3 linked regions of the Rhinolophus ferrumequinum genome follow. The protein of the gene in region 1 interacts with the protein of each later gene in a pairwise test. Links are inferred from orthologs where the notes say so. Each region holds a gene or a part of one and is shown on either strand. Other genes may lie near its edges.

Region 1 (10,287 bases):
GCCTCCCTTCCTACATCCTAAACTCCACTTTCCTCAGTTCTCATTTCCTGTCCTGGCAATGACCTGGAACTGTCACAGGATGGCTGGCAGCAGTTGTCACCTCTCCTTTCAGGGTAGACTGCACCTCTCTCTCCTTAGGTGGCTTTGTAATCTTCAGTGGGTCAATGGCGATGACATTTTAAATCCATGAATTTGTACATTCCCCAAGGTTAGAGTTAGTCTTACAAAAATGCAATTATGAGGACATCAATAGCTCAGTTTACAGGGGCAGGGCTCAGCGCAAAGCAGGTTCCTCTCATTGTCTCTCTTCCAGCTTCAAGAGCAGGAATGCCCATCCTTGGACTATCTTTGGGGGCCTACGGTCCTTTCTTCTAAGAATAGTCACTGGAAAGAAGAACACATAGAAACATACACACACACACACACACACACACACACACACGCAGAAAGGTTTATTGGTCTCTGAGACATAGCTTTTGAGGACATCTCCAACCTCTGGGGAGCTTTTATTAAATATATCTGCATGTGCCTCACCCCTCTGCAGACCTCATAAGTCAGTATCTCTGCAACTAGGGCCTTAGAAATTGTACATATTTTTGAAAGTTCTCCTGCTGAGTCTGACCAGTACCCTAGACCAAGTGTACCTTAGTGGAGGAGGATATGCAGCTCCTCTCAGACCAGGCAAAGACAGCCTCTTTTATCCTACAGCTTTTTCTTAGACATCTTTGTTTCCCAAGGGTCTAGGCTTCACATTGGCCCCACTACAAGGCTGCTCAAGGGATTGCCCCAGAACAAAGGAATGGTCTCTGCTCATAGGTGAATTATAGCTTTGACTTCTACAGAAACTCGATCCTGCAGAAAGGTCTGCTATTAGGAGGTTTCTTTCTCACACACACAAACACACTCACACACTCTCACACACTTATAAGACATCCTTTACTACCGCATTTCCTCGAAAATAAAACCTAACCGGAAAATAAGCCCTAGCATGATTTTTCAGGAGGCCATCCCCTGAACATAAGTCCTAATGCGTCTTTTGGAGCAAAAATGAATTTAAGGCCCAGTCTTATTTTCAGGGATACACGGTATATATGTGCTTAGCTTATCTCCCCTAGAAATGTACAAGCCATAAATACTTTTTAGGGCAGCTGACTTGTTTTTGCGGGATTTGTGTTATAAGACATTTTCAGTATTTAATTTCAACAATGAAAAAAGTATGGGTGCAGCTCTTCTGTTTAACAAGTAAGTCTGTTTGGGGGCCAACGGCATTAAAAATCCTTAATAACCAGTCTGCACTATTATTTCAGAAATAATGGAATGCCTAATTTGGCCAGCTCTGCTCAGGATTGCTTTCTTCCATTCTCTCTCTTAATTAAAAAAAAAAGTGCCACAGTCCTTTTGACGCCAGATTTGGGTTGAATCCCCCCTCAGAGTGGGGACTCAAACTCTGGACTAAGAAGGTTCTTGGTTTCACATAGAAAGAATTCCAACATGAGCCGATATAAAGTTTAAAGTGAAAATAAATGTATTTAGCTGAGAGTAAGTAAGAAAAAGAGGAAAGACCACCCCACAGACAGAGTGATGGTCTCTAATCACGAATGGAAGAGAGACTCCTCCATCTCCCAGGCTAGGGATTATATGTGTTTTCTGTTTCCATGGAAAATTTATTGGTATGGGGGGAAAGGAGGAAAAAAGAACAAGAGTAAGTTTATCTGCAACTTCTGTAAGATGCAAGAAAAATAGGGGCAGGCTTACCTTTAACCTTTGTAAGCCACAACCTGTATTTTATTTGCAGTGGGCTTACCTATAGGAACGGATTCTTTGCTTAATAAAGCCTTTGGATGGTTTGTTCTGTACGATTGATAAACGTCTGCCTGAGTGGTGTGTCTTGGAGCATGTAATCAGCTGGTTTGGAATACAACCTCCTGGCTTCTTCTGTAAAAATAGTGCTCAGGCCCCTTTCCTATATTACTTTCTCTGCAAAGTGAAATGTTTTCATTGAAGTTCCCACTTCATCATCACCGCAACACAATCTTCATACAACATTGTCCCTCATGGAAACCCATGAAGCCACGGAACCTGAGGCCTAAGTTTTCAGTTTTTGGGGTCTGTAAGTAATGATTCCACACCCCAATTCACCTGCTGTTCTTGGTTCCTGCTCTCTTGCTGGTCATCTGAGAAACCATGGCAATGAGAATGGCTGAACTTCAAAACTGCAGGTCTTGGGGAGTCCAAAGGATGGCATGGTCCAGCCTCAGGCAGATGAAGCATCACAAACTTGCATTTGACAGATGCAGCAAGTGAGGCCAGAGATGCTTGGAACCGGCTCAAGATCCTGAGGAGAGGAGGGGCAACAGCCCAGGATGTCTGGCTCCTAATATGTGGTGCCCTTTCCATTAGAAGCCAGTGATCTAAATCCTTCCTGTACATAAAAATCACCTGGGCAGCAGTGCCTGGTTGAGGACCAGCAAAATCCCTACTCCCAGCATATTTACATCTAACTTTGTTTTCAATCAAATCCTCTGCCTTCCCCTTCCAGCGAATTTGCTCCCTCTAGTCCCCTGCCACATAAAAATTCCCGTATGAAAATTCTGGAGTATGAGTAGTTTCATCCACGAATGGTTTGGGGCATTTGTTAAAATGCAGGTTCCCAGGCCTCCATCTAGAGTGTCAGATCCTGCAGGTGTGGGGGAAACCCGTGCAGCTGCATTTTGACCTGCTCTCTGAGTGGTTCTGTGCTCCGTGGACCATACTTTGAGAAGCCGTTCCAGAGCTACCATATGAATTGAGGATGTCTAAAGTCCACTGTGCCTTACTCAGAGAAACTCTTCTCTTTCTTAAATTGAAGCACTGGAGGCAGGTTGCCAGGGAACGTGTTTTAAGGAGTTTCAGCAGCAGCTCCCACTCTACCAGGGAATAACCTCCTGTAATTAGCTGCCAGGTTGGGTCTTCTGAGAAAGGGTGGGAGGCACTGAGGAGTTTAATGGTGACTAGTGAAACCTTAGCGAAAGAGCCTAAACTCCTAAGAAGTAAAGGCTTTGATTGCAGACAGTAAAAAATGAGGTACAGAGAAGGGAAGAGTTGGTGGAAATTTCTCCTTGGATTTCGGCTTTGATCTTGAGGAAAGCTAGCAGCTTGCTTCCATGGAACAATAACTACAGTTTCCTTGAACTTTCACCTATATTAATGAAATGTCTGGGAAAAAAGAACATTTTTCCATATGTTCTTCATTACTTTTTAAAAACTTTTTGGGTGAGGGCTTTATTCAGATATAAATCACATGAATCTTTATTGAGATACAATACACCCATTTAAAGTGTATAATTCAATGGTTTTTAGTATATTCACAGTTGTGCAATCATCACAATTGATTTTAGAACATTTTATCACCTCCAAAAGTAACCCCATATCCTTTAGCAATCACCTTCTCCCCATTTAATCTTCCCACCCTTCATCCATAAGCAACCGTTAACCTATTTTCTGTTTCTGTTGATTTGTCTATTCTGGAGATTTCATATAAATGGAATCATATACCATGTTTCCCCGAAAATAAGACCTAATCGGAAAATAAGCCCTAGCGTGATTTTTCAGGAGGACATCCCCTGAACATAAGCTTTAATGAGTTTTTTGGAGCCAAACTTAATATAAGACTCGGTCTTATTTTGGGGGAAACACGGTAATATGTGGTATTTTGTGACTGGCTTCTTTCACTTAGCATAATATTTTCTTTATTAAAGTAAATTTATTGGGGTGACATTGGCTAATAACATTATATAAATTTCAAGTGTACAATTCTATAATACATCATCAGTATATTGCATTGTGTGTTCAACACCCAATGTATTTGGGTATCCTTCCGACAACATGTATTTGACCCCCTTTACCCTTTTCAACCTCCTCCTACCCTCCTTCCCCTCTGGTAACCACAATACTGTTGTCTGTGTCTAGGAGTTTGTTTTGTTTATTTGTTGTTTCCATTTTATATCTCATATATGAGTGAAATCATATGGTTCTTGTCCTTTTCCGTCTGACTTATTTTGTTTAGCATTAGCACATTTTCAAGGTTTGTTCATGTTTTAGCATGTATCAATATTTCATTCCTTTTTATTGCCAAAAATATTCCATTGTATGGATTACCACATTTGTTTATCCATTCATCCACCCTTGGATTGCTCCTACATTTTGGCTATTGTGAGTAATGCTGTTTGTGTATCAGTTTTTGTGTGGACATATGTTTTCATTTCTCTTGGTTATATATATATCTAGGAGTGAAATTACTAGGTCCAATGATAACTCTGTGTTTAACTTTTTGAGGACTTGCAAAACAGTTTTCTAAACTCCTCATTTTATTTTTTTTAACCAATATGAAATCAATGGCTCTGACTCACCCTATGGGTGCTTAGTTACATACAGTTCAGCTTAATCAGGTGTAACGAAGGATTTATTGTACGTAAGCAAGTGTTTGGAGGATATGAAGAATTAAGCTTGGGTTACAAAATCCAAAAATCCAAAGCTCAAATACTCAAGAATGTTATTTGGTATAACCTTAAAGGTTGGGGCAATGTTACATGGATTTGTATTTATGATAAGCAGAAAATGAAACCCACAGCTATGAATGAGGCCAATAATAAAAAAAGAAAAGAAAACTACAGTGCAACAACTCTTAATTAGCAGCTTTGGAAAAGGTTTAGTGGCCTGAAAAATATAAGTAAAGCTATTGGATAAAACTATCAATAGATTTTAATTACCTCTGCTATCAGCTGTTTCTATGTAGGGAAACAGACAAAAAATTTAAGGGTAAAGAACTGAGATATACTTTAAAGTATTTAAGCATAAAATACAAAGGCATGCACAATGTGTAACTCTATGAATTTTCTCAAAATGAACCTCACCTGTTTAAGTAGTACCCACAGCAACAAACAACAGATGGTTATCAGCTCCCCTGGAACTCCTACTTTCTAGTCATTAACCATCCAAAGGGAAGGAGGCTATCTGATTTCGAACACCAACATTCCTAGACACAAAGACGACATTTTTAATAGTAAATTTCAAGTGTTAAGGATTGACCAGTGGAATAGATTCGTTAAGCTGATAGGATTTCTCAAGACTCAGACTTTTTATATTGCACGGTGTAGTAGAATCTTAAACATTAAATACCTGTGAGCTTGTGTATAAAATAAAAGGTATAATAAACTCAGCGTATAAGCAGCTTTTAATTTACCGTTACATGCAATTTAAGAACATGTACTGTAAGGTGTTTTTAAATTGCATTTACTTTAAAAGACAGATCTCCTTTTCTCCAGAATTTGAAGTTTGTTTCCAAGGAGGATTTGAAGTTTGTAAAAGAAGGATTACTAATCACTGGTGCTTTAATAATCCAGAAAGTGTACATGTAAACCAACACGCACGTTGGCAATGCATCCCATTGTGGGTTGAAGTGTGAGTAATGACCAAAATAAACACAGCCTTTGTAAGCAGGGCATAGAACTAGATAGACATCTCCCTTGGTTTATTGGGCAGGAGGATGTTACATACCCTCACCTTCTGAGAAAACGAGCTAACACTGAAACTGACTTACTGGAAAACGACACTTCTCTGGTTCTTAACCTGGAAAAAAAATCTACTATCATTGTTTTACCTATAAGAACACTTCTAACACATTAAGAATTCTTCCGAGGGAAGTGTATACTATTAGAGGAAATCATTTTGCAAAGGTGAATCATCCTCTTTTTTCTTTTTTAGTAGCTCTAAATATGTCTTATAAGTAACCAAAAATAGGTTGGGATTTTATTAGGATATTTCTTTGGAAAATTAGGATTCTATGTTGTACCAGGTGATGCCGAAAATAGCTCATGAGTCAAGGTGATGTGGACACAGAGTGTAACCTTAGCCACGCGAATGGGGCCGCCCCCAGTTCTTCCTTTCTGGATTCTGGATACTTCCAAGGTAATGTCTTGTTCACACTCACCCCTACCGTGGTTCGGGAAAGCACCTCCGCCACTCCCCTCCCATTTCCAGGAGGCAGGGCCGCAGCGCAATGTCAGCCCAGGCGCAGGTGATTCCGCTCTGCTTGGTCCTTCCCCGAAGCCCTGCGGCTTAGACTTTTCCCACCGAGTCACCCAAAGCCCCTCCTCCTGCCATCCCACCTCCCGGCGGCCGGGGTGGGGGTGAGGGAGTTTAAAGCCGACCTCCCTTCGCATTATAGGTTACCAGAGTCCCTCTCTGTGCTGGACCAGAAGGGGGCGAGGGACCACCGCGCTTCTCCTGCGCTGCTGTCCATCCCCAGCTCGGCGGGTGGGGGACAGACTCTTAGGTTGTCAGCCGCTAGCTCCAATGTGCGCTGACCGCGGCGTCCCTCCTAGCTCGAGGGACCTATTTAAAAAATTGGGGCTGGGCACCCTTCCTGGACGCCAGGAAGCGGACGCGGGTTCGGCTGTGACCCAAAGGCTGCAGCAGCCCCGCGGCGCGAGCGCAGGGCGCGCGTGGGTGTGTGTGGGTGAGAGTGAGGGTGCGCTCGGGGCAGGCCGGAGGCGGACCCGCCCGGTGGCAGGTGGGTGCGGCCGGCGGGAGCCGGGGCGGCGGTGGCGGCGGCGGCGGCAACAGCAGCAAGTGGTTGGGCCGTGCGCATTTCCTTCCCTCCCCCTTGGCCTCGGAGCCCGCCCGCGGTGCCCAGTGCGTGGCGCCCGCGACTCCGCTCCGCGTCCCCTCCCTGCTGCCACCGGCCGCTCCCTTCCCCGCCCGTCCATGTCCCTGCCCGTGGTGCTCCCGGGCTCCTGCTGCCCGGTGGCCGGGCTCTCGGGCGGGCCCCAGGCCGGGGGCCCGGGCGCCGCGGCCGCTGCTGCCCAGGAGCCGCCGCTGCCCCCGCTGCGGCCCCGCTGGCCCCGGGCCGCGCTGCCGCCCCCAGTGCGGCCTCGGTGCTCCGCCACGGCCGCCGCGGTACTAGCGGCGCCGCCCGGGCTCTCCTCCCGCCGGGCCGCCGCCGCCGCCGCCGCCGCCGCGGCCCCAGGCTCTGCGCTGCTGCCGGCTCGCCCGCTGTTGTCGCTCGGGCTGCTGCAGCTGATCCTGGGTTGCTGCATGGTGGCACTCAGCTTCGGGGCGCTGTCGCTGAGCAGCTCCCCGCAGGTGAAGAACTCGTGCCCGTTCTGGGCTGGCTCCTCGGTGAGTGCCTCGCGCGTACAGCTCGCTTCGGCGGGGCCCACCCAGGGAGCCGGGGGCTCTGGCCGGTCCCCTCCACTGTGCCATGATTGGGCTTGCAAGGCTGCAGGTGGGGGAGCACAGTTGAAGTTTTTGGGAAAAAAAGGCTTAAAGAGAGTGAAATTCAGGGGTGAATTGGGTTGCACCTGGCAGTGTCTGTTCCCCACAGGCTAAACGATTTTGTTGTCTTTGTCAAGCTAATAGAATATAGCAGGTCCCTAGCACTTTCGAAGATTGGAAGAATGGGGCTGGGTGTCAGAAAAGTGGGAGGAAAATGATTGAACTTTTAGCCACTGAGTATTAATACTTCCCTGGCAATGTCCGCGAGGGGAGGGCAGGGATTTTGATGTTTAGTTCACTGATGTATGGACAGTGCCTGGCACATAACAGGTGTATTTGTAGGAGGGGTGAAGTGACAGTTTGACAGAGGCACATCACTTGTTTTCTTCCAGCTTACAACACATTGTAAATGTGAAATGTATCTGGTGTAGGATGGCTCCACTCTATTTAGGGCTGAGTTCAGGAGGTAATGACAGGGTGTGTGTAAACTCCTGGTTGTACCTGGTGAATGGAACCGGGCCGTAAGCCCCCACTTGGTTCCTGGAGCTACACAGGCTGCTGAACAGAATTTAATTCTTCAGAACCTGAACCATCATTATGCAAGATCTCTCCAAAGCCAAAGGAGCTGGGACAGCTAGCTGGAGATGTCTGCCCCACTCAGGGACCTGGCCCTGCCTCTTCCAACAGGAAAAGCTGATATGCAGCAAAGGTGCCTGGCCTCCAAGAAAGGCTGCATGCGGCCCCCAGCACCTCTAGCCACTGGGTGGCTACTCATCCCCAGCTTCATAACAATTTCACAGCTTCTAAGGCATCCATCCTCTTGAGGTTTGTCTCTAGTGGAGAGACTTGGAAACAGGTGTTTTGGGGAAGATCGTGGAAGATGAGTAGTTTAAAGTAAATGACCTTTTTATGGACTAACAAAATCTAAACGTGCCTATAGTTTTGATGAAGAGCTGTAATGAATATATATTCTGAATGCATAAAAACTGTCCTTTTGTAGGTCCACACACACCCAGATTCAAGACCAAATTTTAAGAATATAGGGAGAATTAATTGAACCCAAAGTAATTGTTTGAAAAGAACATCAAGTACCTCAAGTGTGGCCTGACATTTTATCCTTAAAGTGATGGCAATTAGCTCTCTTTGGAAATGCTTTGATGCTAGATGATCTTACTGTGGTACAACTTATGCTTTGGTATCTGGAGTCCACAGTCTGTGAATCATGTAAAAGAAGTCCCACGCTCTTGGCCCTACCCTTGGGGTCTCCTGTTGACCTCCCTGAGTGTTCTTTAAAACTCCAGGAGGAGGGGTCTTCTTGACTGGGTGGGGATTAGATCCATTATGCTCCCTAGTCCATTTGTCAGACTAAATTCAGCCAAATGGTTGGTGCATTTTATTCCTCTAAATATTATGGGTCGGAAGTGAATCTCGCATACGTTTTTATGAATTTGCTCTTTGTAAAATCATAATCTCTTGTCTTCTCAAAGGTAGCTATTTAGGATTACTGAAAACTATTTTTTCCCTTCTAAAATTAAAACCCCAAATCAGTGTACTATTGTGATTTATTTCAGAGGTACGTTGACTCAGATGTCAATCAAGCCAGAGTTGGAGTTGATGAAGTATTAAACCAAAAAAAAAAGGCCATCAGCTAGAAGAAGAAGTTGGCTGTTCATCCCCTCCCTTGCCCTTTCCCCCCCCAACCTGCTGGCTGGGTGTGTCCTTGTCTCCAGGACCCAGCAAGCCAGAGCAGGGAAAGAATCAATTATTTGGAACTAAGTTTTCTTCTATAGATACATTTTTCACAGCCTGCCCCCCAGCTCTATATGCAAACTTACAGCTGTTCGTTATTCTTATTTTTCGTGGCTTGTTTCTGAGGTTGACCTTGGAATTTGCAAAGTGACAACAGAACCAGCAGACACTGCGTCTCCAGAACAACTAAATAGGATTTGAGGATGGCATTAGGCATCATGACGACGTTCTAGGTATTTTAGGAAAAAAGTCTCACCAGTATAAATACCTGCATTTATGGATGTGAGAGAGATGTTGGTTATTTTTTTTAACTCTGCATTATGGAAGAATTTAAATTTATTATAACATTGCACAATGAACCCTCATGTATCCTCACCCAGCTCCAACTGTTGTTTCATCTGGACCTCTTCCTGGCTCTGCTGCTGGCTGTGTGTGTTCTGATAACTCTAGGACGATGGGTATTCCAGGCAGGGGAGGAATTATTAGGTTAGTGCAAAAGTAATTACGGTTTTTGCAAATATTTTTAACCTTTTAAACCGCAGTTACTTTTGCACCAACCTAATAGTTCCATCATGCTCCCTAAGCCATTTGTCAGATTAAATTCCCATATCATTTTGAAGCAAATCTCAGACATCACGTCATTTCGTGTGTTAATGTTTTAATATGTGTATATTTTTAAAAAGAGAGTATAAACAATAGAGAGACAGCATGGAAGTGACCAGGAAGTCTTAAGAATCCCTCTCCACTTTTAATCTTTTATTATGAAATTTTAAAATCACAACAAATGTAAAAAGAATAGTATAATGAACCTCCATTTTTCTGTCACCCAGCTTTAGTAGCTGCCAACACATGGCCACTTTATACCCACATCTACCCCTCCTTCTTAACACCCACTGGATTATTTTAAGGTAAAGCCTGGATATCATAATTTCAGCCATTAAATATTTTTGTATGTATTTCTAAAAGAAAGGTGGCTTAATAGTTAAAAGAAAGGGACTTACTAGCACATTACAACTGATTTAAAGAGAGCTAAACTAAGGTTTTTATGAAAAAAGCTTAAAAATTAAGACTTGAAGACTGCATAATTTTTTGAAAAAAATAAGAGCTTTACCGAGATATACAGGTAACCCCCGTATAATATGGTGGCTAGTTTCCTAAAAATGCCATGTTTTGTGAATCTGTGTTATACGAAACAAAGAACTAGTACAAAAAAAGGGGTTAGGTTCCAAAAATTAAAAAAAAAAGATTATATTTTTATGATTAAGAGAAATATCTTTATTAAAG
Region 2 (10,265 bases), on another chromosome or scaffold:
GGACTCTTAACAGCAACACCAGTAAAAGGGAGAGCAGGAAGCAGCAAACGGTGTGTGTCTGTGTGTGGTGGGGGAGCTGAGCTGCCATGCAGTCCCAAAGAAAGCAGCAGCCAACCCCAGAGGGCGCTCTGGAGCTGGAAGAGCAAGGGAGTCCTGTCCTGAGTTGGACCCAAAGCGCAGGGCCCTTATGCCCCTTGGTAGGTCAGTCACTGAATGCAGGTTCCCCTAAAACTAGGAGGTGTGACCTCGGCCAAAACAGTTTTTCTCAGCTAAGCCAATCCCCAAAGGACAGCTGAGATTGGTCTTCCTGCAGTGTTGCCAGCATCTGGGAGGATAAATCCTTCAATCCTGAAAGGGGATCACAGCCTCCACCACAAAGATTAAATGAGATAATCCAAATAAAGCCCACAAGGCAGTACCTAGCATGCAGTAAATGCTTAATAAGTGGTAGCCATTATGATTGTTGTTGTTTTTATAACTGTTAGTTACCAGGCACTGTGACAGAGGCTAGGGACACAGTGGCATCAAGATTCTTCTCCTGTCCTCAAGAAACTCAATATATAAGCAAATGAGACCACCAAACAAGCCATTGCAATGCCGTGCCCTTGATAGGGTGGCCCAGGGTTTGTACGGGAGCATCTAGAAGGGATATATGACCTAGAGTAGGAAGGTGAAGGAGAGTGATGTGAAAAGTGATCCTTGGAGATGAACAGGAGTCAGCCAGGCAATGGGAGGCATTGGGGGTGGGGGAGATGGTGGAGGAAGCAGTGTGTGAAGACGAGAGAAAGCACAATGTGAGCATAATATAGTTCAGCAGGGCCAGCGTGGAGTATGCACCAGGGAAAGGGAAGGGCCTCGTGTATACCAGGCTGAGGAGTGTGGATTTGGAAATAGAGACAGCAGTGGGGAGCCATTAAAGCATTCTAACCAGAGAAAGGACGTGGCCCACTTGTGCTTGAAAACGTCACCCAGCTGCCATGTCGGCAATGGATTGGCTATGGACAAGATTAGGAGCTGTTGCCAGGGTCCAGATGAGAGATCAGGGTGATTTGGACCAGGCTGGTGGCACTGAAGAAAGAGAAGAGTGCACAGAGTCGAAGAATATTGAAGAAGCAGAATTTACAGGCTTGGAGAAGACTGGATGATAAGACAGAAAGGGGAATCCAAGGTCATGTTTAAGCTTCTGATGTAGGAAAACGAACTCCAAAAGGCCTGGTGTATTAGTCCAATTGGGTTGCTGTAATAGAATGCCATAGACTGAGTGGCTTATAAACATGAGAAATGTATTTCTCACGGTTCTGGGGGCTGGAAAGTCCAAGACCAAGGAATCAGCGAATTTGGTGTCTTCTGGGGGCCCTGTATCCCAGTTCACAGATGGCTGTTTTCTTGCTGTGTCCTCACGTGGTGGAATGGGCTAGTGAGCTTTCTGGGGTCTTTTTAAAATAAGAGCACTACTCCCATTCTTGAGGGCTCTGCCCTCAAGACCTAATTACCTCCCAAAGGCCCCAGCTCCAAATAGCATCACTTTGGGGAACAGCTTTCAACACATGAATTTTTTTGGGGGAAGGGCACAAACATTCATTCTATAGCACCTGGGAAACAAGTGTCCTAAGACTTAGAGAGAAAAAAACCCACCAAGGACAGATATACTCCTCGTTATTCAGCATGCTTCAAAGGAGCTTCTTCCAGGCAGCTCTCCATGGCTTATGGCTACATTTTAGACAAACATGTGGAGCCCTAAGGAAGCATGACTCTCAGAAGGAGCTATGCTAATCCAAGAGGAACCTGCTTCCTCCCTGCTTTTATCTGGGGGGGGGGGGGAATCCAGCAAAGAATGCTCTCAGTATTTACACTGTAGTTGTAGTGGAAAGCAAATTAAGCAAAGGAAGAAGATAGAAATAAAAATTCACTTTGGATTCAATCTTCAATAAACATCAAGACGAAGGGTGCCAAAATAATGTATACACATTTTAAGAAAGGAAAAAACTATTAAAATTGTAATACTCAATATATACCAATAACAAAAGATGAATACAAGTTACATTTGACTTCTGCAATTACAAGAGATACTCAAAGTGGTTACCATCAGTGTCCAGACACCTCTGATTAGGGCGAGCTACGCTTGAGCAACGTTGACCAAAGTGCCCACTTGTATACAGCAATCTTTTGGCACCCCCAGTGTTTACTGAATATGGACTCTGGGCCCAGCCTTGTGCTCAGGGCCTTAGATATAAGGAAGAATAAGACACATTGACCAACTTGAACGTGAGGGTCTACCTCCTTCTATAGTCATATTTCTTGTGATAAATTAATGCACTGGTGTTTGGGTTTATATAGCAGCCTCGTGTGTGTTTGGTGACCCTGAGTCAGTCTCTAGGGTTTAATCTCCTCTATGTTTTCCCAAAACTGAGCTTTTGGACTTCAGAGCTGATGAGTAGACCTACATAAGTGGGAATCATTAAATTGGAAATGATCTGAAGGCATCTCTAGCATTTGCTCCAAAAGGAGTAATGTGAGGGCAGAAAGAGACAAGAGGTGTTGTCTCTGAGGGTTCCAGGGTATTCTCAGAATTTGAGTTAAAAAGTTGGGCCCAATAGTCCAAGGCAACTTCTCAAAACGTTTTTGCGGATGAGGCGTCTGCATACCGAAAGATCTAAAATGGAACCTTCCAAACATTCTCCCTTTGGGGGCACATTCTCTCTCCCTTAGAGGAACTGGGGTGCTTGGTTGAGGTTACAAGTGCACCCACCATTGAATCAACTAAACAAACATTTTTCCTGATTTTGATTTGGTCCTTACTTTCCAAATAAAGGTCAAGATTTAATATAGCAAGAACCAACCTCTACCATTAAGAAAGACCAAAACCAAGGTACAAACCGGTGAGAGAGGATGAAGAAAGTAATAAAGATTGTGTTGGTGGTAAAAGAGGAAGAGCCCAAACAGCTCCAACAAAAACTTCTCCTAGAAATGCAAAAAAGCATGATGAGTTATGGCACGATGGAGTGTGCCCATCAGTATCAAATCCTTTAGAAGTTTACCTCATACCCACACCACCTGAAAATATAACTTTTGAAGACCCGTCGTTAGATGTGATTCTTCTTTTAAGAGTTTTACATGCCATCAGTCGATACTGGTATTACTTGTATGATAATGCAATGTGCAAGGAGGTTATTCCAACTAGTGAATTTATTAACAGTAAGTTGACAGCAAAAGCAAATAGGCAGCTTCAAGACCCTTTAGTGATCATGACAGGAAACATCCCGACGTGGCTTACTGAACTAGGAAAAACCTGCCCATTTTTCTTCCCTTTTGATACCCGGCAAATGCTTTTTTATGTAACTGCATTTGATCGGGACCGAGCAATGCAAAGATTACTTGATACCAACCCAGAAATCAACCAGTCTGATTCTCAAGATAGCAGAGTTGCACCTAGATTGGATAGAAAAAAACGAACTGTGAACAGAGAGGAGCTGCTAAAACAAGCTGAGTCTGTGATGCAGGATCTGGGCAGCTCACGGGCCATGTTAGAAATCCAGTATGAAAATGAGGTTGGTACAGGTCTTGGGCCTACACTGGAGTTTTATGCACTTGTATCTCAGGAACTGCAGAGAGCTGACTTGGGTCTCTGGAGAGGTGAAGAAGTAACTCTTAGCAATCCAAAAGGAAACCAAGAAGGGACCAAGTATATTCAAAACCTCCAGGGCCTGTTCGCGCTTCCTTTTGGTAGGACAGCTAAGCCAGCTCATATCGCAAAGGTTAAGATGAAGTTTCGCTTCTTAGGAAAATTAATGGCCAAGGCTATCATGGATTTCCGATTGGTGGACCTTCCCCTTGGCTTACCTTTTTATAAATGGATGCTACGGCAAGAAACGTCACTGACATCGCACGATTTGTTTGACATTGACCCAGTTGTAGCCAGATCAGTGTATCACCTAGAAGACATTGTCAGACAGAAGAAAAGACTTGAACAAGATAAATCCCAGACCAAAGAGAGTCTACGATATGCATTAGAAACCCTGACTATGAATGGCTGTTCAGTTGAAGATCTAGGATTGGATTTTACTCTGCCAGGGTTTCCCAACATCGAACTGAAGAAAGGAGGAAAGGATATACCAGTCACAATCCACAATCTCGAGGAGTATTTGAGACTGGTTATATTCTGGGCACTAAATGAAGGCGTTTCCAGGCAATTTGATTCATTCAGAGATGGATTTGAATCCGTCTTCCCACTCAGTCATCTTCAGTACTTCTACCCAGAAGAACTGGACCAGCTCTTGTGTGGCAGTAAGGCAGACACTTGGGATGCAAAGACACTGATGGAATGCTGCAGGCCAGATCACGGTTACACTCACGACAGTCGGGCTGTGAAGTTTTTGTTTGAGATTCTCAGTAGTTTTGATAATGAGCAGCAGAGGTTATTTCTGCAGTTTGTGACAGGTAGCCCAAGATTGCCTGTTGGAGGCTTCCGGAGTTTGAATCCACCTTTGACAATTGTCCGGAAGACATTTGAGTCAACAGAAAACCCGGATGACTTTCTGCCCTCCGTAATGACTTGTGTGAACTATCTGAAGTTGCCGGACTATTCAAACATTGATATAATGCGGGAAAAACTGTTGATAGCAGCAAGAGAAGGGCAGCAGTCGTTCCATCTTTCCTGATCACACCAAGAAATGCAGTGTCTGCCTGTTACAGCAAAAGAAAAAAATCACGAGTTATTTTCTAAATGTATCACCTGAGGCAAGGAAACATGTTACACCTTGTAGGAAAAACGGCTTGCAGATTATAAAAGAGACACTTGGTTGATATTCATTAATGGCCCATGGACTTAAAGTGATCAGGCCCTAAAATGTTGTTGTGATGAGGTTTCTTTAGCAAGTTCTTGTTTAAATTATCATTTATTTGATGAGTGAAGTTTTTAACTTGCTTTGCTGTGTGAAATTTAAAAAAAAAGGGATGTTTTTCCAGGCTGAAACAATAAATGTCGCTGTGCAGTTTAAAAAAAAAAAAAAAAAAAAAAAAAAAAAAAAAAAAAAAGAAAGACCAAAACCCAAAAGAACGTGATTTTTCTTTACAGTTGTTTACTGCAATAATAGTTTCTATATTTAATAGAAGAGGTTCAGGAGCATAAAACCATGGGCTGATGCAACCTTTCATTCTTCTTTAAGTTTCAAAATGCAGGCAGGTGAATTTCCATTCGCACTTCCATTTTCTCCATGGCTTGGTTGTAGTCTCAGATCAACATTCCAGAGCTCTTAAGGCCATGAAGCAAGGTGATTAAAACGTAACTGAGTGACGCAGTGTCCCGAGTATCAGTATAAGGGGGAGTATAGGAGGTAGCGGGTGGGCGAAACTCTAGCTTAAAACCAGCGACTTCAAAGGCTAACGACGACTTTGTTTTTATACCAAGGAGCCGCAGCAGGCACTCCGCGCCCGGACTGCCAGTCCCGGAAATACCCACGCAGCTCCAAGAAGAGGGAGCGAGTCTGAAAACCGAAACCGGCCGCAGGCGGATCCCGCAGGGGAACCACTGCCCACCTCAGGGCAGCTGGGCGAGGGAGGAGCTGGAGGGAGTGGAGGAGGGGCGGCCGGGCCGAGGCCCCGCCCCCGCCCCGCCCCGCCCGCCACGATTATAGCGGATGACTCAGGGCGGAGCTCCGCTTCCAACCCGCGCCGCCGCCAACTTCTCTGGATGGGACCAGAAGTTTCTAGCCGGCCAGTTGCTACCTCCCTTTATCTCCTCCTTCCCCTTTGGCAGCGAGGAGGCTATTTCCAGACACTTCCACCCCTCTCAGGCCACGTCACCCCCTCCTTTAATTCATAAAGGTGCCCGGCGCCGGCTTCCCGGACACGTCGGCGGCGCGCACAGTTCGAGCTCCGGCCGCGGCCCGCCAGCGACTCGGCGCCTGGAGGCCTCGCACCCCGTGACCCAGCACCCCGCGACCCGGCACCCCGGCGGCCTCCCCTCCGGGCCCACCGCGACCCAGCATGAGCGCTGCTACCCACTCGCCCATAGTGCAGATGGCGTCCGGCAACGGCGCCGGCGACCGAGATCCCCTGCCCCCCGGCTGGGAAATCAAGGTCGACCCGCAGACAGGCTGGCCCTTCTTCGTGGACCACAACAGCCGCACCACGACGTGGAACGACCCGCGCGTGCCCCCCGAGGGCCCCAAGGTGAGCCAGACCCCTTAGCTCGACGAATGGAAGAGCAGGGCCGGGCGGAGGCGGCTGACCTGGGCCGGGCTGCAGGGACGCGAGGCGCCGAGTGCCCGCTGGCCGCAGCCTGCCAGCGCCCCAGCTCCCGAGGTCGGTGAAGGCCACCTGGGGCGCACGGACCTCTGGGCCGCACCAGCTCCCCGGTCTTCGGTCCCGCCCTTGACAGGCGTGGGGGTGAGGGGGAGGTTTCGGAGGGGCTGTGCTCCTTCGGCCGCATGGGGTTTCTGGGGGTCGGCCCGGGAAGTGCGACCCGAGCGGTGGCGCCAGGTCCCGTTCACCGGCTCGATTCGAGGGGACCTGGGGCTGAGGGCGCGGTGGCTGGAGCTGGCCCGGGATCCACGAGGGGCGGCCGTTCTGGTCAGCTCCCCAGGCCGGGCCAGGCCCCAACGCCGCGGGGCTTCCGGGGCAGAGATGCTGGTTTCTCTCAGCGGATCTCACTTGGGCGGACGCCAGGGGCCACTCGCAAGCCTGGGTGGTGGGTGGTCTCTTAGGAATTTTACCTCTGGTTCCTCAACGTGGCTGAGGGGTATCTTGACTTGACTCGCCTACCTCAGGCACAGGATGACTCAGGAGACTGATGTAAATACTTTCCTATTTTTGTCCATTTTATATTTGGAATTTAAATTGTATTGTTTGAAACAGTTTTTTTATGAGAATCTATTCTAGTATGACTTGTTAAAAACAAGATGCTCTTCTCCCAGGCAATTTCTAAACTAAAGATGTTAGACTGTCTCATAGTTGGCCATCGCCTTAGGACGTTGCCTCACACTGGCGAGAAAGAGAAATTTTTTTAAATGGCATACATTCCCTTCCTTGTCATGGTATTAAAACGTCTAGGACTTGTTTTTAATAAACAAATAACTGGGCGATAATACTTTTGTGAGTATAGCAGAAGTATGCTTCATTTGCATGTATGTAAGGATTATATTTAACGCTTAGGAACGTGAAAATTTGAAAATAAAAATTTGAAACGAGTCTGTTAATATGTAAAAATGTAATTGTGTTATTCTTGCAATTATCTATAAGTTTGATCTTTTCCAAAATAAAAAGCATGGAAAAAAGAAATAGGTAAAGGGTAACTGTTAATGCCGTTTGGGCAAAATGAAAATAAAAGCTGTAAAGAGCTGGTAAGGTATTTTGAAGATGTAAAAATTCACAAAATCAAGAATGCTTTATAAGTCGTTATTTTTGAAGAAAGATTTATGTTATCCACCTTCATTTTTATGCACTTTTTTCTTTAAAATATTGATAAACCTCTGGTTCCCAACCAGACATTGTACATTCAGCAACTTAACATTTATAAGAAATTAATGGTATATTTATTTCTGAAAATTAGTACAAGAGGCTGTAATTAGTACAAGAGGCATAATTATATATACTTTTTGTGTGTTTGTTCAGCCCATTAGTGGGTGAAACTAATGCTCGTTTCAAACCAGCCCTGTTGCTCCAGTCTGTGTGAATATGATCTTTAGTGTGGCTAAAAAAACCCAATTATTTTGAGGCTTCCTTCCTATAAAGACAGGGACCGTCAGAATCTTCTGGCACCCTTTGTTGTGAGTGAAGGTCAAGTTTGAACGTATCCACTGGGAGTGCAGTATGAGATCCAGATTGCCAGCACTTTGTTTTCATCAGGAAACTGACCCAGCAAGTTGAGACCTTTGTGCACCCTTCTGGTGGATGGGTTAGGCTGTGGTTTCATAAAGCTTTTTAAGGGTAGAAAAAACCAGGTTGAGTTACTATTCTCAACAAATAGAAAATAAGAGCTACTAAAATCAGAATTCTGATGTTGGGAAAGTGGATTTGAAAATTCAAGTCAGAATTTTAAAGTTGAAAGGTCCTTAAAGATCTTTTAGCTCAGCCTCTTTTATTTTACTGAGAAAGAAACCCTGAGAATTCAAGTGTGTTTCCAAAGATCACTCAACTAATACTAATAGCAAAGAGATAAACACAGCAGTAAGTCCTAAGAAGAGGCAGTGTATCTATTCAGAAGAAGGTAGAAATGTCTTGAATTTTTATGAAACCGTGAAGTGTACAGGCTGAATACTTTGATTTTTTTTGTGTCCTCCCAATACCCCCAAGTATTAGATGGCTGATTTCTGTGCTATGATTACTTGGATGGTGATGGCTGGATGTGATCAACTCAAGAAAACAAGTTCTCTGTACCAAATTAATTATTTGAGATTTGTCAGCCTGGTATCAACACATAAGGAGAAAACTAACATTCACTTAATTAGCTCTTCGGTATTACAAGAGCTAAAGGGTTCATTGCTTTCAAACCTATGCTTTGATATACACAGAACATCTCGGTGACTAATTCAGTTTCTCTTATATGAATTACACCTTACTCCAGACTAAATACAATGGAAAATCCTTCAGTATTACTTTATATTAGAAATTGGTTTCGTAATGCGTAATGAGAAAAGGGCCCTGGCACAAAACAAAGGGCTGTTTGGAGGAGCTAAGAGGATCCTCCAAGCATCCTTACCTTCAAGAGGAGGTGCTGTCAATCAGTAAAGAACTGTTCATTGAGGGTGAATAGTAAAGAAAGCCCTCTTTGGGGAAGATAGCTCCTGGTATTTACAGAACAACCTTGCTGGTAAAGGAATGGCTTTCATGGAAAGAAGAAGAAAAGACCAGAACTTTGTGTTTTGTTTAGTCTTACACTCTGTCCTCTCACAGTTGATCCTCTCACATTCCCCTGAAGTGGTTAGAGTGACTCCCCACATTGTCACAGAGGGGGAAAGTGAAAGCAAGTGTCTTGCCCTTCAGTGCAGAGGCACAGGGACTGCTGGAAGCAGAGACACTGGGCTTTCTCCAGCTCCACTCCAAGCGAACCTCCCCACCTGCAGTCTTCCTGGGTATCGATTTTCTGCACACGTGGGCTTCCCATTAATCTCCTGGCAAGTTCATGCCAGTCCCTTCCCTGTCAGAAAGGTTGGCATTCGCTTTGGAGTCAGTAGATGCACACAGTGCCCGTGCAGCCACCCCTTGGGGCTCTCCTCACAGAATAAACAGACACCAGCTACTTGGGAGTGTGGCGCTGTGCTGCTCCCTCGCAAAGCCCTCTGGGACCTGAGGGAGACCCTCCTCCCTCTAGGAACCCGGGCTGTTCTAGGTCTCCAGATCTTGGAGGTCACCAGCACAGATTCCCAAGCGTGGCAGTCTCCAGGGAAGCCTTTTAAGAACACAGATTGCCAGCTGCGCCCCCCCCACCCCCATGTTGAATCCAAATCACTCAGGGTAGGGTGCAGAAATCTTTAAGTCAAAAAAGCTTCCTCGATGATTCTTGAATATACCAGACTGGCATTTGGGAGCCACTGAGTAACGGGGCTCCCATTTTCGGGGGAAGAGGGGTTGCATACTGGGACTTAGAATACAGTAGCCTGCATGTAGGCCCCGGAATCCCTCACGGCACCTGCTTAACATCCACCTGCCAGAGACGTTATCTGAGCCTCCTTTTTCCTTCTTGGTGAAACTCCCCGGTGCCTGGCTTCTGGGAGTGTGAATATGGGGGTGGCATGGGGAGGGATAGAGCCTGGCAGGGTGGTGGTCATACCAGGTGTGGGGCAGGGCCAGACTCGGGGAGGTCCCGAGGCCCTCCTGCACCCTGGAAGGAGCGAGCCAGCGCGTTCCCTTCTGTCTTGCCCTCTCAGCAGAAGCTCTTCATAATCATTTGACATATTATCCTCAGGCCCTGTGAATGAGAGGTAGAAACATCCTTTCAGAGGAAACTGGAAATGTTTTGAGTTATGATTGAAGTAGAGACACCCATTTATTCTGCTGCAGGTTCAGCAGAGCCTCCTGAGTTTTCTTGAAGATGAGGTCATTTTGCTCTTTGCAGATCCATTGCAAAGAGCTCCTGCCTCTTAGCAGAATCAGAGTAGTCAGGAAATGAAGGTCCACTCTCTCCTTTTATTTCCAGCAAGTGCAGTTACTGTGGAGCAAATTCCTTTGTGACTGATGAATAGTGATTTGCCAGGGGGGTGGATAAAGAGCATGGCCAGATGCCTAAGGAGTACAGCTCATCCAAGTCCTTCCTTTTCCCCCCAAAG
Region 3 (10,434 bases), on another chromosome or scaffold:
AAGTTGTTCTTTCCGTCTTAGTTGTGGAGGGTGCAGCTTAGCTCCAGTTGCTGTTTTCTAATTGCAGGGGGCACAGCCCACCGGCAACCTTATGGTTGAGAGGACGCGCTCCAACCAACTGAGCCATCCAGGAGCTCAGCGGCAGCTCAGCTCAAGGTTCCGTGTTCAATCTTAGTTGCAGGGGGTGGGGCCCACCATCTCTTGGGGGAGGAATTGAACTGGCAACCTTGTGGTTGAGAGCCCACTGGCCCATGTGGGAATCGAACCGGCAGCCTTCGGAGTTAGGAGCACGGAGCTCTAACCACCTGAGCCACCGGGCTGGCCCACTCACCTCTTCTTATAAAGGCACTAATCTCATTAATGAGAGCTCCATTCTCATGACCTAATTACCTCCCAATGGCCCGACCTCCAACTATTACCACATTGGGAGTTATATTTCAACATATGAATTTTGGGGGGACACAAATATTCAGTCCATAATGTAATGTTTACAATATTCTAATTAATGGACTAAATACTTGTGAGGGGCACAGAATTTAAAAACCACACAGATCCTTATTTGTACTCGTGGGGAGTTACAACAATCACAAAAGTTAGGTTAGAGGAATAATAAGTGCTAAGTCATGCAATGTTGACCACTTGTTCAGAAAAGTTTCGGAGAATTGGAAGGCATGTGGATTGGGACCAACTGAGGAAAGCTTCTGAAGAAGATGGGTGTTGAACTAGATCTTAAATTTCCAGATGTGAAAAATAAAAGAGGTAAAAGATGAAGGCAGGTGGAAGAAGAAAGCATGCATGTTTGGAAAGTGAAATATAAAGCACAATACAGACAAAAGACACTTCATTTTCTCCTCCAACTGATTTTCACAATGTTGTCTAGTGCTGCTCTGTCTAATATGCTCGCCACTAGTCACATGTGGTTATTTAAGTTTAAATTAATTAAGAAGAAATGAAATTTAAAATCCAGTTCTTCAGGTGCTCTAGCCACATTTCAGGTGGCTAGTGGCGATTTTATTGAACAGTGCAAATATAAAGCACATCCATCATTGCAAGAAGTTCTTTCGTAAGTGCTAGAATAAGCGCTACTGAGCATTTACTATATGAAAAGCTCTCGTGTCCCATTTAATCTTGATAGCAAACTTACTACGTATATACTTCCAGATCAGAAAACTGAGGTTCCTAGAACTTAAGTATTTTCCTAAAGTCACATAGTCAGTGGCAGGGCTGTAATTTGAAATTTCATCTGACGTCAAAAACTGATGCCTTAAGCCAAGAAAAATAAGGTTACTGGGTAGGGAGAATGAGTTATTTACCAGAGACAATGACATCCCAGACTGAACTTTCTGTGGCAGGCAAAATCCCGGTTCTTGAGTAAGGCAACAAAACCACAAAGGCGGTGTTTCAGGATCAGTAGCTTAGTTTTGAGTGTAGGGCTAGTCTAGCGTACGTGGTGTCTTCAGAAGTGAAAGGCTCTCTCTAGGAGAGATGCAGCCTTGTGGACTCACGACTCAGTTAACAGAGCATGTAGACCCAAGCTCCTTCTCACCCCCTACACTGAGTGCCTCTTTTCAGGGGGAAGAATTGGAAGGCATGGAAGAAACAATAATCTGGGATAACGGAGGTGATGCCAAGGGGAAGGGAGGAAGGGAGAACAACAAAAAGAGAGTTTGAAGAAAGACATGAAAAAAATTAGGTTTAAAAAAGTTGAAAAAACTAGGAGCAGAGTTAGAGCTTATTCCAAGGTTTCTAGTATGTTGGTCTAAAACATGTGGTACCTATGATAGAAAAGAGGAAAAGAGAGCCAACTTCTGGTTTCTGGTCCAGGATCTAAGGAGCTTAGCAATCATCACTCCTGCCCACACAACAAGAAATAAAATTAACAACTTTTTTTAGAGAACTAAGGTCTCAGAGAACTGAGGTCACAGGGCAAACAGCTGCCACAAAACTGGAAAGACAGACAAGCAGACATAGAGAATCACAATTTACTGAAGGAGAAACCCTCATAGGAACCAGCTCCGGGGTAAGAAAACGTAAACTGTAATTCACAAATTGCTGAAGCTCAGTGGACAAGTCTGAGGGTTAAAAAACTTCAGGGGGTCCCAGTAATAGAGAAACCCCACATTTTTGTGAGTTTTACTCCCAGGAGCCCTACCAAGTTCCCACAGTGAAGATCAGAGAAAATCCCCTTGTGCTTCTGGCAGGGGGAAGGGAAAAGTGTCCATTCTGAAATGAGCCCAGACCATTCTGTTTTTAATGAGGCCTGACCTCGAGAGAAACAATTCTACCAGAGCCTAACTCACTAGGGTTTTGCCAGAGCCTAGTGGACGTTTCACATGTGTTGTCACAACTCATTTCTGGAGGAATCAAACATGTCCTGTATGACTCCACTGAGAGAGGACTCGTGGAAGCTTGTGCCTCCACTTCCCCTACATGCCATTTCCCTTGGCTGAGTTTGTTTTGTTGCCTTTCATTGTAATAAATCATAGTACGAGGAGACTGGATGCTGAGTTCAATGAGTCCTACTGAATCACTGAATCTGGGAGTGGTCTTGAGGACCCCGATACACCTCGATTGGTTCCTGAAAGAAAAAAAGAGGACATTAATGTAAACACTGTTAAAATCTAAATAAAGTCTTGAGTTTAGTTAATAACAATAAACTGATGTATGTTTCTTAGTTTTGACAAATGTACTGAGGAAATGTAAGCTGTTAACCATGGGAGAACCAGGGTGAGGGGTAATTTAGAGCTCTCTGTACTATCTGTGTAACTTTTTTATAAATCTAAAGTTATCTCAAAATAAAGAATTTATTTGGAAGAAAACCACTCAAACCAAATGCTTTGGAAATTCATGAAAAATAACATACTACTCATCTTAAAGAGAGAGAGAAATTATCCAAACTGAAAGACAAAGTGGAAAATAAGAGAGAACAAACTTTATTGACTGTATCCAGAGAGACAGATTGTGGTTTAAAAAAAAAAATCAGACTCAGGACTTGATTGTGAGAGTAGCAGAATTTAAAGGAGGGTTGAATAAGGAAGACATAACACATAGCATGTCTCCTACACTAAACTCAGGGGTCTGAAAAGGAAAGAATGGGACCCTGAGACCTAGGATGGGAATATCTGGGTGGATCCTCTTGAGAAGTTTGAGGATTTGCTTCAATCCTCTGGACCAACAGAAGTGGTGCCCTTGTCCTTGCTAGAGGACTGTGGCCTCCCTTTGCCTGAATATCATGCAGAAGTCTCACCTGTGGAAGATGCTTCCCAAAATGCAACTTTCTCTTCTCAAGATTTGCCAAAACCATCTGCAGTGTTTGAAGACCAGTATCTAGGGTCAAGTTTCATCATGGCCTGACTGGGGAAGCACTGCCCCTATTTTGGAATAAAAACGGTTTTTCCCCAAATAGGTACTGGCAGAATTAGAAGCACATACCTGGGGATGGATCTTGGTATATGTTTGGGGAAAGTAATCTAAGGTAAGGATTTGTTGAGTGTAAACCCAAAATAACCAAGAAAACCCTAAAGAGACTAAATTTAACTAAATTTGAGAAGATTATTTTGTTTTCAGGGAGACGGGCTCAAAAGAGATTGTATGACAGAAAAATTAAAAAGTTGCATTTCATTGCACACTAGAATTTGTGGGTTGCCACTGACGTATCTTTTAATTTTTCAACAACTTCATTAGGTTAAGCGATGAGCAATTTTTTATATTCTTGTTTCTAACACACGGTCCAGCTCTTAGTGACTACTAAAAATTTTGTTAATGTGAGGAACTCACCGAGTGACTGAGTACACACACAGAAAGGGAAATACTGATGGATTCTTGAGTACACTTGCCATTAAAAATGAAAGGAATTAAAGGAGTCTCTTTCCTTTCCAAAGGCTAATCCTCAGCCTTTTGCTCTTATCTCAACACAAGCTCCTCTACAATATTTCCTCTTACGGCTTTATCAAGTGCAATAGCCTCCTAAACTGTTCTGCCTGAATCAGATTAATATCTGGAAACTCTTTTTAGAAACCTATTCTGCTGCTCTAAATCTTTAAATGATTATCTAGTGCCTTATATGGTAAATTTTTTTAAAAAATTAGCTTGCTCTTAGGGCTCTTCCCAATCTGTTTCCTCTTATCTCTATCTTGCTTTGTTTTCCATTCCAACACTAAGCCGTAATCCTAGACAAATCCATCCAGAATGTCTCCAAAAATATATATATGTTCTTCCAGGACCCATCAGCTCCAAGTCAAGTAGTTGTTTCAATCTAGTTGTGGAGGGCGTAGCTCACAGTGGCCCATGTGGGGATCGAACCCGCAACCGGCCACCCCCTCCAAACATATTTTGAACATCCTAAATTTAGTGTTTTTTTGCAAACCAGCTCCTTTCACCTGCAAAAGTTTCTTTCTTATTTGTGCACCTATTTTTATCACATAAAATGCAACTACCTTCCTGAACTATTCCATGTGTAAGGACTCTCTCTTCTATGTATCGCATCTTTGTAACAAAGGTTGTCAAATGGTTTTGTTTGACTTATTGTTAAAATGTTGAAGTAATTCCCAACATTTAAAAATCATTTTCAAATTGAAAGCTCTAGTAGGGTCCACAGGTCAATAAATGGCTCAAGTTTACTGGTGGCTGTCATTTTCAGACACACACGCTTAAGTTAGATAGTCATGGCTGCCTTTGAAAAGTATTTATCAAGCACGTATTACTTGTCGGATAGTGTTTTAGATGTCCGGGATACAGCAATGAACAAAACTGATCATGGAGTTTATATTCAAAAGAGAGAAAACATAGTGAGTAAATTATAGATTTGGAAGTGATAAATGCTATGGAAAAATAAAGCAGGGTTAAGAGGGATAGGGAGTGGGTGTGAAGGGCCCTTGCACTTTTAGATTCAGATACCTGGCGGGAATCCTATGGGAATTTGAGTTGGGACTCCAATATACAGTAGCCCACCCTTATCTGCAGTTTCGCTTTCCCTGATTTCAATTATCCGTGGTCAACCATGGGCCAAAAATATTAAGTGGAAAATTCCAGAAATAAACAATTCGTAAGTTTTAAAATGTGAGCCATTCTGAGTATGGCGATGAAATCTCAAGCCACCCTACTCCAACCAAGCTGTGTGCAGCCACCGCTCCCCATTAGGCACTTAGCGGCCCTCTCGGTTTTTAGACCAACTTGTGCTATCACAGGGCTTGTGTTCAGTAACAGCTATTTAACTTAATGGCTCCAAAGGCATTCACCTAACTTTAGTATATTGTTATAGTTCAACTTTATTATTACTGTGAATCTTACTATGCCTAACGTATAAATTAAATTTTTTTATAGGGATGTATAGTTAAAAACATAGGTACTATCCATGGTTTCAGGTATCCATTCAGGTCTTGGACTGCATCCCCCTTGGATAAAGGGAAGGCAGGAAGGGAGCCTCATTGCTTGTTGGACTCCCAGGGTCCAGCAGTGTTTTCAGGGCGAGAACACGATGGAAAGCAGAAAGTTAGGAGTCCCCACAGAGCCCAGGTAACTTTGACCACCGATTTCCAGAGTGGTTATTCCAGTGGGGTTTAGGCACCAAGGAGAGGGCAAACTATAAGCTCCTGAGAGAAGAGCCAACTCTGCCCACTCTCCAAGCCACCTCTGGGCCAAGGCTCGATCCGTTTCCAGGGCAACAGAACTGTGACGCGAACGGAGTCGCGAATCCATGGCCGCCTCCAGGGATCGGCCTGCAGCTTAGGAACCAACTAAATGACCAAGAACGTGGCCGTCTCAACCAGCAGTCGCACGCCGAAAATCTCAGGATACCGGGGTCCCTTCGGCGCCACCGCCCCCACTGTTAGAGGGTTTCTGGCGTCGCCCAGTACTGGGCGCGACAACTTCCGCCCCGAAGGTCCCCCTCCGCTCCGTGGCTTGCCGGGGTCCTAGCGATGGAAAGGTGGCCGCGGCAGACGCCTGACCTATATGAAATCCTGGGACACGGGCAGCCGCCTTCTCCCGGCGGGAGGCAGCGATAGGGGTGCTGAGAGGATAAGCGCACCTGGTGGGACCTCGCGCCTGGACGGGGAAGGGGGGGCGGCGCGCGGACCCGGAGCTGGCCCGTCAGGCGGGAGTCGGGCAAGCGCGGCGGCGGAAGTGCGAGGACGCGGGCGGAGCCGATCGGTCTAGGAAGCCGCGGCCGCGGGGTCACCGAGCCGGGAGCAGCTGCCCAGCCGGACCTCAGCGACTAAGGCTCGGGCGTCGACAAGATGCCTCTGTTCACCGCCAACCCCTTCGAGCAAGACGTGGGTAAGTGCTGGTTCCGGGGCCCGGGCTGCTGTTTGTCCTGCTAAAAAGTGGGCGGCGGCAACGCGGCACTGGGAAGCCGAAGGGAGAGAAGGGGGACGGCGCCGCTGCCCCTCCTCGGGGAGGGTAACTTAGACTTGTCGCTAGCGGTCTGGAGAGTGCTTCCTACCCACCTGAGGTTGGGGACCCCGAAACGGAGCCATTCCCCTCGCCAAGCGCAGGAATAGGGAAGAAGAACCTGGTGCTTGCTGGAGAGTAATTAAGCAATTGCGGAGTCGATGATAGAAACTTCCTGCTCCATGTAGAACTGGTTAAGCACTCCCTTCCCCTCCCCTTTAGGAGATGACGGAGCAGTGAAGACCCTGCTGTCTAGGGCAGCCCAACGCTAGAGACCTTGACTCGCCCCCATTCAGTAGGAAAAACCTGTTTCACCTCGTGTATATACAAATGCATCCAAGCCCCGATAGCACAGCTTCAGGATTTATGTACAACGCTTGGAAGTGTTATCGGCGGATGGCCCAAGTGCTTACGCGATGTTTTGTCCTAGGGTGTGAAAAGGAAAACTCCAGGGTCTCAAAACAGTCCAGAACAACCAGTATTTTGTTTGTTGGGGTTGTAAGAGCACTGATGTTTCAGTGACTATGGAGTGAGAAAAAGATGGGCAGGGTAAGAGAACGCATTTTGGGCATGAGAATAACAGTAAAAACAAACTGGCTAAGTAAACATTTTTGTAGCAGCAGTTACCGGAACCTTAGGTAGAGTTTTGAGACTTTGTGGAATGAAAAAACGCATGGCTGAAAATTGCCAAAGTCACACAGAATGCTGAACTTCACAGCAGTGAGCCATCTGGTTTTGTACTTACGTTTCTAATTATGAAAAGACTCTAGAAAGTGCCCTGTTTTATGTGATCCCAAAAGTGTGTTCAAAAGTCAAATGTACTATGTTATAAGCCCCTTCCATTCCCAGGGAGCTACAAAATTTTATAAGTATATCTTGATCCGAGGTAGGCTTCAAATATGTATTTCCATAATTTTATTCGACTTGTTTTCTTGGTGGTTTGTTTAAACAGGTGACAGGCATGGATCTAGGAAGCCTGGCGTTGAGGCTCACAGCTTCAGCTTTTGGAGCACCTAATGATGTCTTCCTCTGTTGTAGGGAGACCTGTACTTTTTATTGTTGATGTGAAGACTTTTTGTCCTAGTGAAAGAAAACGGAAGGGGCAAAATAGAATAAGACAAGTGATTTTCAAATTTAGAAACTGTGGAACTCTCTTCAAGGGAAATTTTTCCCAGAAGGCCATTGTTTTCTGGTTGAAAACTTATCAAAGTAGGCCAAATTGCTGTGCCTGTTTTGCTTTTCTAAACCACCTGAGATCCTTGCCTGGTTTAGTGGATCACAATTTAGTACCATTGTAGTAAAAGAGGCACTATTGTTCTGACAAAAAATACTTCTGTGTGTCCATTACTTCAAGGGCAATGCCTTTAACCAAAGCTTCAAGAACTTATTGGTTTACTCTGCTATGACTGATGTCAGAATCCAAAAGTCAGTTTCAGGGTAAAAGAGCAAATTTGATGGAGGCCCGTCTGTAACTTCTTTTAGACAAGTGAATGGAATTAATAGAAAAAGTAGAAAGAAATACTAAGGAGTTCAAATTGGCCCTAAACCTTTATCATAGAAGAAAAATTATGTATTACATTTTTCAGACCTTAAATCTCCTTTTAATTTGAAATAGTTAAGTAATACAAGCAAGTCATTATTTAACTTGAGATGTCTACAGGAACGTTCCTTTGCCATGTCATTTTCTTTTCCCCTACTCTTTGATTCAGTCAGATTTTTATCATTGTTTCTTTTTTATCATTGTTCACCTTTCATTCAACAGACACACATTGAATGTGTCTCAGACATTGTGTTAAGTTCTGGGGACACAAACATTTAACAAATGGACTGAATTCCTGCTTTCAAGGAGGACGCATACACACATAAAAAGATAATTGTAATATAGTGTGATAAATATTGTAGTAGAAATACACAAGATGCTTTCCATGTTCCCTTTATTTAAAACAGTCATTTTTTTTCCTCAAGAGAAGACAGACCTTCAGGCAGACACTTTCTCTGTAAAGATGTTGACACTGTCCACTCCCACCCCCAACCCCCTTTTCTAACAGCACTTCTCCCTGCAGGAAGTAACCTTATCTCTTACTATATGTATGATATGATCATTTTATAATTAAGAGCCTTTAAAGATGAAACCGTGCCTTTGGTGGGTGCAGAGTCTCACCAGAGGGCAAGCAGTATTTCTGACATCATTCATATGGGAAAGAAACCCTTTTCTCAGACTCGGAGAAAAAGCTCTAGTGGGTAAAGATGTCTGGGAAGGGCACCCATAAGTTGACGAATGTATATGACTTGTCCGATGGAAGCAGGCCGAAGGCTGGGAGATAAGCAAGAGTGGCAAGTTCCTATTTTGTTCAAAGCTGAAACCTACAAACCCCGATTGATATGCTAGTATGGTAGCATTAGAGCTCTTTAAATATTTACTGAAGTTCTTAAAATCTGGATTTATTTTTTGTTTTGTTCAATAAAATTCTTTTGAAGCTGTGATGAAAAAAAAAAAAAAAAAGAAAACACACACCTACCCGGCCACTCACCCTGAGCCCCGCATTGTAAAGGATGCAGTATAGGATTCCTGATTTGGAGCCTAGTTCGTACAGCCTTCTTAGGTGATTCCATGGGGAAAGTGAAACATGGGGGACACAGCCACAGTAGGAAGATTTAGTGGTTAGTGTTAAAAGGAATATCATTGCCTTATATGCTGTACCAATTTTTCCAGTCTCACTACATTGGTTCCTGACTTTATGACTTGTCTGTTCTGCTCCCTAACTCCAGTTCATATTTGCATGTCTTTTTTCTCTTTATTCAGTGTCGGCAGGTTCTTGCAAGGTTCTGCCTCAGCCATTTACTGTTCATTGATAGACTTTTGCTTTATTCAGCACCCTTGGTATCTCCTTCCTTAAAGATAAACTTGTGCCTCAAAGCTGAGCTCAAATTCTACCACTACAAAATCTCTGACACAATGGATTGAAGTGTGAACTTTTATCTTAAAAGGAGGCTTTTCCAAGTGAAATTAGGCTTGTATGGGTGTGTCTTTGGTTTGTGTTGTGTTCAGAGAACTCGACAATGAGGTAGCTTGGGGCTTTTATAAGAAACCCTAATATAAAAATAGATATTGACAGCACTTCAATAATACACATCACTTTATATGTTCAAATTTGTAATATTTACATATTTATTAAGTCAATTCTTGAACGCAATGAGGTTCTTATAATCTTTGTAAAAAAAATAAAGTTAGAAATACGTTTGGTTATGGATGAGAAGGATAGCCTTAAAAGCCATTTTTTTCTATACTTTGCTTACATGGTACCAAAAATCCTAATACCTATAGATAGTTACAAATTTTAATTAATGTATCTTGTGACTTGTTAAACTATGAAATACTTTTATCATAAAGTACGGTATATAACAAACTCCTATTCCTCTCAGCCAACTCTGTCAAGTTCTAAATTTTGCCATTTTATTTTTTTAAGAAACATTTAAGATACAATTGAAATTATCTGGTATATTTAGTAGCTATCTGATCCTATGTTTTTTCCTCCCTTCTCAAAGTTAAACACTCTCCAAAAAGGTATGACCCTTGAACAACGTGGGGGTTAGGGGTACCAACCCACCACTCAGTCAAAAATCTTCATATAACCGCCAAAACTTAACTACTAGTAGCCTGCTGTTGACTGGAAGCTTTACTGATAACATAAACAGTCGATTAACACCTTTTGTATGTTATATGTATTACATACTGTGTTCTGAACAGTAAAGTAAGCTAGAGAGAAGGAAATGTTATTTAAAAAATCGTAAGGAAGAGAAAATACACTTACAGTACTATATTGTTTGTTGATACTGTAAATTTATGTCATCTGTTTTAGGCTGTGTCGTTCGTCTGAGTTTTTTCAAATTGTTGATGGAAATAAATCCGCATCTAAATGGACCCAAAGCAGTTCAAACCCATGTTGCTCAAGGGTCAGCTATGTATACTATACATACCAGTAGGGTTTCCGGGCAGGAATTCCTTCCCACCCCGTTCTCTGGAATTTCTTTCCGCTTTCCCGT

The links.
Region 2: the proteins of ENTREP1 (region 1) and BAG3 interact in a two-hybrid assay, tested with the Homo sapiens proteins (2 studies listed by BioGRID and IntAct). The link is inferred for Rhinolophus ferrumequinum from reciprocal best matches to the Homo sapiens genes ENTREP1 and BAG3.
Region 3: the proteins of ENTREP1 (region 1) and STAM2 interact in a two-hybrid assay, tested with the Homo sapiens proteins (2 studies listed by BioGRID and IntAct). The two-hybrid records come from large-scale screens. The link is inferred for Rhinolophus ferrumequinum from reciprocal best matches to the Homo sapiens genes ENTREP1 and STAM2.

The regions. Positions count from the first base shown.
Region 1 is NC_046295.1:36,159,720-36,170,006, forward strand, and holds the start of ENTREP1 (endosomal transmembrane epsin interactor 1), read left to right. Parts: upstream 1-6,247; 5' UTR 6,248-6,333; coding exon 6,334-7,158; intron 7,159-10,287. UniProt on the Homo sapiens protein: Functions as an activator of the E3 ubiquitin protein ligase ITCH in the ubiquitination of the CXCL12-activated CXCR4 receptor. Thereby, triggers CXCR4 endocytosis and desensitization, negatively regulating the CXCL12/CXCR4 signaling pathway.
Region 2 is NC_046299.1:9,805,064-9,815,328, reverse strand, and holds the start of BAG3 (BAG family molecular chaperone regulator 3), read left to right. Parts: upstream 1-5,642; 5' UTR 5,643-5,985; coding exon 5,986-6,171; intron 6,172-10,265. Other genes in the region: E3 ubiquitin-protein ligase TRIP12-like, read left to right, coding at 3,156-4,658. UniProt on the Homo sapiens protein: Co-chaperone and adapter protein that connects different classes of molecular chaperones including heat shock proteins 70 (HSP70s), e.g. HSPA1A/HSP70 or HSPA8/HSC70, and small heat shock proteins (sHSPs), e.g. HSPB8.
Region 3 is NC_046291.1:68,373,250-68,383,683, forward strand, and holds the start of STAM2 (signal transducing adapter molecule 2), read left to right. Parts: upstream 1-6,121; 5' UTR 6,122-6,236; coding exon 6,237-6,276; intron 6,277-10,434.